3 linked regions of the Xenopus tropicalis genome follow. The protein of the gene in region 3 purifies or fractionates together with the protein of the main gene of each other region. This does not show direct contact. Links are inferred from orthologs where the notes say so. Each region holds a gene or a part of one and is shown on either strand. Other genes may lie near its edges.

Evidence for each region.
Region 1: the proteins of srp9 (region 3) and larp7 purify together in Homo sapiens (affinity purification with mass spectrometry; 3 studies listed by BioGRID and IntAct, with this or other methods). This does not show direct contact. The link is inferred for Xenopus tropicalis from reciprocal best matches to the Homo sapiens genes SRP9 and LARP7.
Region 2: the proteins of srp9 (region 3) and srp54 purify together in Homo sapiens (co-immunoprecipitation; 4 studies listed by BioGRID and IntAct, counting the BioPlex papers as one, with this or other methods). This does not show direct contact. The link is inferred for Xenopus tropicalis from reciprocal best matches to the Homo sapiens genes SRP9 and SRP54.

The regions. Positions count from the first base shown.
Region 1 is NC_030677.2:68,982,403-68,986,057, forward strand, and holds part of larp7 (la-related protein 7), read left to right. Parts: intron 1-1,552; coding exon 1,553-1,924; intron 1,925-2,057; exon of another isoform or gene 2,058-2,228; coding exon 2,229-2,367; exon of another isoform or gene 2,368-2,892; intron 2,893-3,522; exon of another isoform or gene 3,523-3,585; intron 3,586-3,655. UniProt on the Homo sapiens protein: RNA-binding protein that specifically binds distinct small nuclear RNA (snRNAs) and regulates their processing and function.
Region 2 is NC_030684.2:109,397,334-109,401,659, forward strand, and holds the start of srp54 (signal recognition particle 54 kDa protein), read left to right. Parts: upstream 1-1,414; 5' UTR 1,415-1,540; intron 1,541-3,865; 5' UTR 3,866-3,891; coding exon 3,892-3,969; intron 3,970-4,326. UniProt on the Homo sapiens protein: Component of the signal recognition particle (SRP) complex, a ribonucleoprotein complex that mediates the cotranslational targeting of secretory and membrane proteins to the endoplasmic reticulum (ER).
Region 3 is NC_030681.2:8,410,287-8,413,270, reverse strand, and holds the end of srp9 (signal recognition particle 9 kDa protein), read left to right. Parts: intron 1-337; coding exon 338-408; intron 409-1,962; coding exon 1,963-2,082; 3' UTR 2,083-2,422; downstream 2,423-2,984. UniProt on the Homo sapiens protein: Component of the signal recognition particle (SRP) complex, a ribonucleoprotein complex that mediates the cotranslational targeting of secretory and membrane proteins to the endoplasmic reticulum (ER).

The sequences.
Region 1 (3,655 bases), on a different chromosome or scaffold from region 3:
TCGCGTCTTAATTTTCGCGACTTTTCACACTATTCACCATAAGCATACTTGCGCTATTTTACGCGCGGTATTTCATCCAATATTTTTGTTGCGATAAATAGCGTGCGCGGTATTTTTCGCATGCGCTAATTGTCGCGACATTAAGCACGCGACAATCGGCAGCATAAAATTGGCGACATTTTGCCCTGGGAAAGCACAGAGTGCTAGAGAGGTGCTGTATAAATGTTTATTTGCAAAAAAAAAAAAACCCCAAAAAACAATAAAAATATAAGTAAGAAAAAAAAAAGAAGTGCTAGAGTTATCACACTCGGCAGAAAATACACTACATACTAATTAACGCAAGTTGTTGCCCGCGACTATAATTTTTTGAAGCCTTTGCCAATTTTTGGACGTGCAGGGAATTTTTGCGTGGCGAATTTTTTTATGCATTTTGCCATTGGCGGATTGTTTTGCGAAACACATGAAAAAATTTGCTGCTTAAAAATTCGCCGCACGTGCAAAAATTTGCTGCGAATCCATGCCTGGCGAAACATTTCATCACTTGTAGCCGCATATGAACGCACACCATGTTAGCCATACACGCCAATACTTTCGTAAAATTACTGTATTAAAAATTACCATTTCCTTGCAAACTGGCGGCTGCGTCACTCTAGGGGAAACACATACTTGAATAAATAGCACTGCAAAGTCCATATTTTATTGGCAAAAGCTAATTTACTGTACTTTTCTATAATTATTATAACTAGTAATGTATTTTGTGCGACTAAAGATTTACCGCTATTGTACTGTATAATATCGCGACAACATATTCACCGCTATAGTACTGTATATTTTGGCGACAACATATTCACCGCTATAGTACTGTATATTTTGGCGACTAAATATTCACCGCTATAGTACTGTATATTTTGGCGACTAAATATTCACCGCTATAGTACTGTATATTTTGGCGACTAAATTTTTACCACTATTGTACTGTATATTTTGGCGACTAAATTGTTACCACTATTGTACTGTATAATAGTAGCGAAATTCCATACATGCCAAGACTTTAGTAAAATTGAGTAAAAAGACACATATTTGAATAAATAACACTGTAAGTCCATATTTTATTGGCAAAAACTCATTTACTGTACTTTTCTAAATTTTTTCGCCTGCCTGTAGTAGGTGTTAATTTTCGCATAGCCGAATGCAATATTTAGCTCGCCTAAGTTATAGTGAATCATGCGATCGTATTCTTTTCAGCGTGGAAATTAACGCATGCGTTAAAACTAGTGCAAAAAATACCGCATGCGAAAATGGCGACTTAACGCACGTGATAATACTATGGTGAATCGTGCGCTAATTATCGCGACTTATTTAACGCAAAAAAGCGTGCGATAATTTTTATTGCACTTTAGTGAATCGGGCCCTATATCTTATGCCTGTAATAGAAATAATATACCCTGTAGGGTAAAATACAATTTAATGATTTTATCTGTACATTAGTACAGGTGATATATCCAAATTAACCGAGCCAGCCAAGTAAATTCCCCTTGTTTATTATTTCCAGAAGAAAAGAAAAAGAAGAAGAAAAAGAAATCCAAGGCAAGAAAAGACAGTGTCGAAAAGGCAGAGGAGGATACTAAAGAGCAAGATATGGACATAATTTCTGAAGGCGTCCCTAAGAGACGCAAGACTGTATCTGAGAGCTCAGTACCTGATGTACAGGAAGCTGATAAGCAGACTGCCAAAAAGGAAAAAAAGAAAAAAGAGCGAGCAGAGAGTTTTGATCAGTCTGAGAAAGTCAGGCAAGGCAAAAGAAAGTGTAGCAGCTCAGAGGAACATGACTGCTCTTCTGCTAAGCAGAAGAAAAGTGATACTAAAGACCTGCCTCAGGATGAGAAGCCAATGGTAACTCAAGAAGTATTACAAGAATGTAAAGGTATTGTCTCCACAGATCTGTTGCCCAAGTTTATCCTTTTTGTCTATTCTATAATATGTATACAGTCAGACTATAAAATAAATATATCTTATCTATAGTAGTCAGGTATTTGCTTTCATTTTCTAGCTCCTAAAATAATACTACTCAAAACTAAATACTGGTTGGCTGCTATAAGGCAACAGCAAATACACTTGATGCATGGCACTTAGCATCTATGTAAGATAATAAGCTCTCAAGTGTTATATAATAATTATAGTATAGTATGGTATGTTATGGTTTCTGCATCTTATTGTTCATGAAACAGAGCTCTCTACAGAAGAAGAAAAGGATGCAGTGGATAAGAAAGAAATATCAGTGCCAAAAGTAAAAAGGAAGCGGAAGAAGAAGCATAAAGAGAGACACCGAGTTGGAGAAGAGGTTATACCTCTGAGAGTACTTTCAAAGTAAGTCCTTTCACTGTGCATTTAAACACAGTTTTCAGATGTGGAAATATGTTTGTGTTTGGTTATGAGAGGTATTTGCAAAAGCAGTTTTGTATTAAGCATTTTAATAAAAAAAACAAAATATCTAGGCCTACTAGACTTCACTAGTTAAAGGGGCAGTATATACCCTTTTGCCTACTTTTTTTTTTTTTTTTTTGCAAAACAGTCTTTGTAATTTTTTCTTTTTTACTAAATCCCCTATAATTAGCTAGCTAGTTCAACTAGAGATAATGAGCTCTATATAAACAAACTACCCCCACACTCCTTTTTGCCTTGTTTAGCTAAAGTAACTAAAACCATACATTTTATATATAAAACATATATCATTATTTTGCATGCTTGCATTTGGTTGAGTAGTTTTGTCCTCTTGCTCAACTATTTGAGTGCAGCTTGGGCAAACAGTCCTTGGAACTTATTGGATCACAGTTGGCCTTCCTGGACAGAAATTTAGATCTGATGATTCTTCTTGGTGCATGGTATGAGGCACTAGCAGATCCAAAAATAAGAAGAACACCAGATCTGCTTTTATACATGCTCAGCCAAATAAAGCAGATTATGGTACTGGCACAAAGGGAAATAAGCCACTACCGCGGGCTACTAATCTCCTCAAAATGCATTCTCACCTGCAATAATGAGAGGAAACTTTTGGCCGACTTCAATAAACGAAGTGCTGCTTATGTCTTTTTGCAGGCAATTTTACATTATTGCCAGTGGGAAAACATTTTGGGCAGTATTGAAGATTTATCGCGGGTGACTAATCTCTCCATTTACCAGTACCCTAAATGTTAATTACCATCCATGTAGATAGACAGACAGGGAGATAACTACCTTTTTCAACCAGATAACACCACCTGCTAATTAATTATAAGAAAAATAAAAAGGTTGCTACTTTTTTTTTTTTTTTTACATTTTTGGTATTTATGCATATAAAAATAGTGTTTAAGATTTTTTTTTTTTTTTTTAAAAATACTTATTTTTTCTAAAAACTTATATGTTAAGATATATTTAAGTATGTATTTTTAAAGATACAAAACAGTCATTTGTATGTTGGTATACAGATGAACTTAACATCCACTGGTAGAAAGTGAGTTTGTATAGCTGGCACTCTGCAGGCAGTCACCATTGCTACAGTGCAATTCTAGACAATATAGCACAGAGTTTGCACATAGGCAACAGTAACTGCACACCTACAGCGCAGTCCTATTACATGTTGTCCATCAGATATGCCGGATCAGAAATATAGCTTAAT
Region 2 (4,326 bases), on a different chromosome or scaffold from region 3:
GATGCTGGACCAGGCGGTTGTAAACAAGCCTTTCCAACAATTTAGATGCAAATATTAGAAAGGAAACTGGGCGACAGTTGACAGGGTACCTAGGATAAAGGGAAGTTTTTTTCAGGATTGATTAGTGATTAGTGCTTGTTTATACAATAAAAGTACCAGTAGAAAACGAGAGGTTAAATAGGTGGGTAAGATGGGCTGAGTGTATCAGAAATTGGTTTCAGGAGGTAAGAAAGTGTTAAGCTGGCCATACACGTGGTGATCTGACGATGTTTCGTGCGACCAAACATCATCAGATCCGCCACACACCATTCAGGGCTGAATCGGCAGGTAAGGAGGTAGAAACAATAGGATTTCTACCTCCTTCTGCCGATTCAGCGCTGAAGGAAGATTTTGGTCAGGCGCCTTCTATGGCGCCTGATCAAAATTTTCAAACTGGTAAGATTGGCGAGTCGGCCGATATCAGCAGCCTCCTGTGATATCGGTCGACTCGCCGACATACCATACACGCACCGAATATCGTACGAAACGAGGTTTCGTACGATATTATCGGTGCGTGTATGGCCACCTTCAGGTAGGTAAGTTTAGGGCTGAGTGTATCAGAAACTGGGTAAAGGAGGTGAGACGGCATGGGGCCAAGGAAGATTCTAATTTCCCACCATGTCATCTTATAAATTGGCCCTTTTTTTAAACTGTGAAAAATCCACCCCTTGTTAGCACAAAAATGTTAAAGTTGGCTTTGGCAACCTGCACAAAGTGTCTTTCTCATTTCCTGGCTCTACCTAAGATGATCAGAAAACCCTGCACTACACTGATGAGCAAAAGAAGGGCAAAATCGGTCTGTAGTTGGAAATCTGATCAGCTGTTATCCCGGCTTCTGATTTAAAAACCCAGTGGGTGAGCTTTAACCCATACTAGGCTAAACCCATGTAAATGGGATTTTCTTTAAACTCGTTGGGATTAGTTCCCAGAATTCCTTTTGTCTACTGGCACAAGAAATAAACTTTACTTTACTATGTAAAATATTGGGAACAGAAGCTCTTGAAGCAGCAGGTATTGCTTGTAACCACTGGCAGAACCAGACGCTACTTCACCTCCCCCCTCCAGGCAGCGCTATGCGCCTTCTCTCCGCCTATATACGGTAATCGTGACATCACGGTCTCGCGAGATGAGCCTTGTGAGGTTTGTTTTTAGCTGCGCAGAAGTGAAGGAGGTTGATATTAACGGCACTGCAGGACTGGTAAAGAGTAATCCGGGACTGCGGGATGTGAAAAAAAAACTGTGTCTGTGTCTGGATAAGCGAAACTGCTGCGTGTGTGCCGGAAGCGGATATCAGCTGACGGGTCAAAGGGAAACTTGGAATGGTGACGTTTCATATAGAACGGAAGTTCCCGTGCTGTGAAATTCCTGTCGGTCTGTTGAGTTTGTAATTTCGTTATATGGACATTGCGTTGCCTGAGCATCGACCGGTCCAGTTGGGGATATAAAAGCATATAGTGGGAGGGCTGAGGGACCCCCACATTGGGGGCTTATTTCTCATCAGGTAAGCTATGTTACATGCAAGTCTCAAGTCCTTCTAATCTCAGTCTCCACTGCGGTATGGTAGTGAGGCTGTATGTAGTGAGTAACAGCTGCCTCAGGTTTAGACCTTTTTGCCTTTCCGTTTGCTAATTTCTTTCGGCAAAAAAAAAGCTTTGGGGGAAGGACCAGTTAGATAACACGATGCATCACGTCTCAATATAGCCAGTATGGTATTCAAGTACATTAGCCAGCCAAATGTAAGGGTATCAAGCCTAAATAGAACAAATACATGCAGGTATGCAAGTGCAGTTATTACCCAGTAGTATGGTAACCCTCTTTAGATTTCTATATACTTAGCAACTAATATTTATTTAATATTTGTTCTGACTTCTTATTTGGGGGTCTATTAGGTGCTTAGCCCTAGCAGGTCTCCAGGTGCTTCTTTGTACTGTGTAGTTCCACAAAACTGATGATGATACTCCAGCGGTGGATTTTTTTTTTTACTTGGCAGAAACTAAACCTGTTGCATAGCATAGGTATTAAGAATAATACTGGAGAATGTGGATCTTGTTCTTACATTAAGTGGCTTGGCCCTATCTGTGGAATGGTGTTGCATGGGAGTGTCTTAGTGGGGCCTTGTGCATATGGTCCACTTCTTGGTCTGAACCAGTGGTATTGCTGAACTACACGATGAGTGTGATGGAATAAACTTAGGGGTAATTCCATTTGTACAGTTATAGGACCCATTATCCAGAATGCTCAGGACCAAGGGTATTTCGGAGAAGGGGTCTTTCCGTAATTTGGATCTCCATACTACTAAAAAAATCAATAAAACGTTAATTAAACCCAATAGGATTGTTTTGCATCCAATAAGGATTATTTCTATCTTAGTTGGGATCAATTACAAGGTATGGTTTTATTACTACAGAGAAAAAGGAAATGAGTTTTAAAATTCCAAATTAATTGATTAAAATGGAGTCTATGGGAGACGGGCTTTCCGTAATTCAGAACTTTCTGGATAACGGGTTTCCGGATAAGGTATCCCATACCTGTATCTGCACTAATGTGTACTTCAGGGGGTGTTAAGAAGTACTTGCTGGGTATTGCTGTTGTAATCCACTACAGGAGGTGTTAGGTGTGTAACAGCAGCTGTAATTTAGATAATGCAGGCTACTAGTGTAGCCTGAGCTCTGTAATAGTGCCAGCCATTGTAAAGGCCAAAGCTCCTGAAAATGCAGTGAGGAAGTCAACCAGCAAGGTAAAAACTGCTCTCTACATGCCTAGGACTGATCATTCATGGGTACATGAGTCTTGACCTAGGATGCCAGATGTGATCAACCAACTGTTGGCGAGTAATCCTTTGTTAAAGGAGAACCAAAGGCTTGTAGAAAATATATATTATATTATATATATATATATTGCCCAGAGAACTTTTGGAATGTAATTTTTTTAATTGAATTGTTAAAAGTATTGCAGCAAGGAAGTCTGTTCAGAATAGTAGAGGATCTTTTTCCACATTTCCATCATCCAGTGTTTGCTGCTTTTAAAGTATGGGAAACGTAGTACTTGAACTCTGAGATTCATTTCTTAAGGAATGTTCACATATAAAGTATGCTTTTAGAGCAGCATTTTATAAATGCTCGTGAGTTGTATTCATTCCCTTGTAGGATGTCATGATTTTATTATTCCTAAGCAGAACTTAGTGACATGCAGCAGATAACATAAGTATAATTGCATCCCAAAGAATAAAAACTGAATATCACTAGACCTTTTGGTTGCAGGGCCCCAACAGTTCTGTGCATGTTTCTTTAAAGGGTGTCCGCTATCCTTTACATGAGTAGCATAGCATGTTTACCACCACTACAGGTGTGATCAGAAAGGCTTGTGTTTTAGCCCTGAGCCTGGATCCATGCAGGTCACACAGTGTAACCTTATCTAATTTAACTTACTCCTGTTAAGAGCACCATCTCTGGTAATGGGAGCTGGCAGGAAAGTTGGTTCCCAGCAACATCATTTCTAGCATCAATGGGTTGATCAGAGCGATTGGCTGTATTAGAAAGTATTGTGGTGCTGCCGGTGCTCATATGAATGATGTATTATGCTGGCTATGACTGGCATTGCACATTCTGAGGCTAGTAGGTTTTACACTGGAAACTGCCTTCAGTGTCCTGTAGCAAGGAAGTTTGATACTTGCCTACCTTACTGCAATCACAATGGAACGTTAAAGGGCAATGTATGTTAAATGTGTTTTTTCATAATGTTTGTCGCTGACAAGTTAATTATATCTGTTGTTTGTTCATGATAAACTTTCCATTTGTTCTGATAAGCATGTTGTGTTTTCATACAGGTGTTGTGTAACAAACAGAAGCCAAGATGGTGTTGGCAGACCTAGGACGGAAGATTACTTCAGCACTGCGCTCACTGAGCAATGCAACAATCATCAATGAAGAGGTGAGACAGTATTTTTATGCACCCAAATTGTAAAATGTATTTGTTTACGCATGCAACTGGTAAAAAACTATTTTTTGTTATAACTGTAGCTGCACCCAAAGCCACAACTACCTTTGTGCTCACTAGCTCAGGTACATAATACATGTTAGGGGACTCTGTAGCACTTTTCCAACTCCAATATAAATGATCCTTGTGCAACTGTACCTTGTATTTATTGTTATACTTTGTATTTATCTATTATTATTTTAATAACTCCCTTTTGTATTAATTCATTGTTCTACTGTACAGCGCTGCATACATAAGTAGCACTTTATAAATAAAGATATACATACATATATAGTTCATATGCCTTACAGA
Region 3 (2,984 bases):
GCAGTCGCTCTGAGGATTTTATAGTTATTTTATATTTAATTTTTATTGTTACTTTTGATAACTTTCTGTTCAGGGCCTCTCCTGTTCATCTTTCCTTCTCTCATTTACTCAACTGCCTAGTTGCTATGGTAAACTGGACCACAGCAACCAGAGAGCTGCTAAACTTCCATTCTGGAGAGCTCCTGAACCTATAAACTAATTCAAATACTATGAACATAAAAAATGAAGGCAAATTACTGGTTCTGTTGGTATTATGAAATTAGGGCAAAACTGTTCTCTTCTGTGGGGGCAGGCTGATTCTTTCATTAAATGAACATTTTATTTATTTTTTTTCCGTAGGTTCGTGTTGTGCTGAAATACAGACATTGTGATGGGAACCTCTGTATTAAAGTTACAGATGATGTAGTGGTAAGTGTGTTATATGCAGGTTTGCTCCTCATTCACTGGCTGCACCTGTGAGTAGTAAAGTGAGTAAAGCTGGCCGTACACCTCCACATCCCTGCCCGATAGATATGTGGAAGATGTTTGGCCACGTATTGATTGAGCAGGCTGCTGGGAGGAGCAATGACATTCCAGTATCTAGTGAGAACCTTCCCAGAAGTGTAGGGGCAGTTAGAGGGGCAACTTCATATAAGCCCTGTGGTTTGGTTATGGGATGTTGGGCAGGCAGGGGTCCTGATACTGTTAGTAACACAGTGTGTATCTGAGGGCTGTTGTCCTTTTCTAGCAAGGAAGTGTAACTACCAAGGCTTGGATTCCTCCCTGCTACCATAAAGTGCTGGTTACTCTCTCACCACACACAGTAAGATCCTCTCTTGCATGGTTACCCAATGAGCGGAACTTTGTCCGATTTAGTCACCAATGTGCTGGGCCAAATGTAGAATGATCCGATCATTTGGAACCTGGGCCAATCATCACTTCATGCTTCAGTCCAAGATTGTTGGGAGAGGGGCACATGAGTCCACTGATGTCGTCCATGTCCAATGGGATTTTCTAGCCTGCCTGATACAGGTTGGTTTGTGAGTCTGAAGTGGCCAAGTCATCAAGTTCTATTAGCCGTGGGGGGTTCAGTTTTGGTCTCTGTTCTCCAGTGGTGCAAACACCCAATACTGCCCCTGCAGGCTGCCCTTGCGTTTAAAGGAAAACTATTCCCCCAAACAACGTGGGTCTCTAAAAATATACTGCATAAACCGCTCATATGTAAAACCCTGCTTCATCTAAATAAACCATTTTCATATAAATATACTTATTTAGCAGTATGTGCCATTGGGTAATCCTAAATAGGAAACTGCCATTTTATGTACTAAGGGCCGCCCCCTGGGATCATAGGAGTCACAGAGGACACAAACAAGCCAAGGCACACATACATGCTAGGCCCCATCAGCCAATGAATGGGCAGAGTTCTGCCTTTTGCTCCCACACTACTTCCTGTTACAGTTAGAGCTGCATCACTTCCTGTCAGCTGATCTCTGAGGGAGCACACAGCCCATCACTAAATGGCGGCTCAAGGGAAAGGATATAAAAGGGCAATATTTACTGATATATTCCAGTTTGGGGAGATTCTTTAATAGGCCACTTAACATAATATAAACTGTCTGGTTCCGTATTCATTCTGGGGGTATAGTTTTCCTTTAATAGCAGCTGGGTGTCACTGTGCCCATGGAGTGGGCAGTAAGGGATACAGGCAGCCAGAATGGAGGGGGTAGTTATGGGAAAGAATAGCCCAAGAGAATGGTAGGGAGGTTTTATCTTTACATTGTAGGTTCTAGGGGATATCAGGAAGCACCCAGCGGGTTCCCGCTAGGCATTAGTGAGGTGACACTTAGCATACGGGGATGCCAATCTGTCTATGTGTCACCTTGGCATTGCCACCATCCGCCATAAGACTGCGCTACGGGGCTAAAAGATCAGACTGTCTGAAATAGCTGATGTGTTTCCCCCCCCCTCCCTTTCTATTTTCAGTGCTTACTGTATAGGACGGACCAGGCTCAGGACGTCAAGAAGATCGAGAAATTCCACAGTCAGCTGATGCGGCTAATGGTTGCCAGGGAATCCCGCAGTGCTGCCATGGAAACAGACTGAATGTCTGAAACTGAGGAGAGAAGGGGCTGCTGCGGTCACACTACACCGTGGCCGGGGAGGGGTGGGGGGTAAGAAGATTGAGAAAAGGGACAGTTAGAGGTCTGGAGTAACTGAGCTGCCACACATGCAGGGAGTTGCTCAGACGGAGGCAGAAGAGTGCTATGCTTTCAGTGGAAAGCTTCTATTTATTTTGTTTGGGATTTGTACTAAGGAAAATGGATCTTTCTTCCAAAAACAGATGTATTGAGCATGTCATGGACCGACTTTATTTTATTTTTTTTTCTTTTAAATATAGAAATGGTATAAAATGATATCAATAGAATAAATTCCCTTAGTCATCGCTAATTGTTCATTTAGTTGTGTTTCTATCAGGGCTGTCTCTTCATCTCGCCTTGTCCCCCTATTTGAATAGTTGGGGGGACAAACAGCTTGTGGGGTGGAGCCTGATAGACTGCCCCAGGGTGGGGCTGGGGAGGGGCAATAGAGAGGTCTCAATGTACCAAATGTTTGCTCTGAAAAGAGGCTAGACCCTCTATGAACCTTTCCAATAAAACCTATATTTTTAATTATCAACTTAACTCCTTTTATTTTCAAGATGCTTTCACTTGAACTTATTAAAGGGAACGTTTACTCTTGAGTCTGCTTTTAGTATGATGTAGAGAGTAATCGGAGACGGCTTGCAATTGGTCTGTTTTTTTTTTTTAAGTAATTTATTTTGTTCTGCAGCTCTCCGCTCAGTAGTTTCATCAGTTATCTGGTTGCCAGGGTCCAAATTACCTTAGCAACCAGCAGTGGTTCAAATGAGAGACTGGTATATGAATAGGAGAGGGCCTGAATAGAAAAATAAGTAATAAAAAGTAACAATAACTGTAGCCTCACTGGGCAGTAGCTTTTTGAATAGT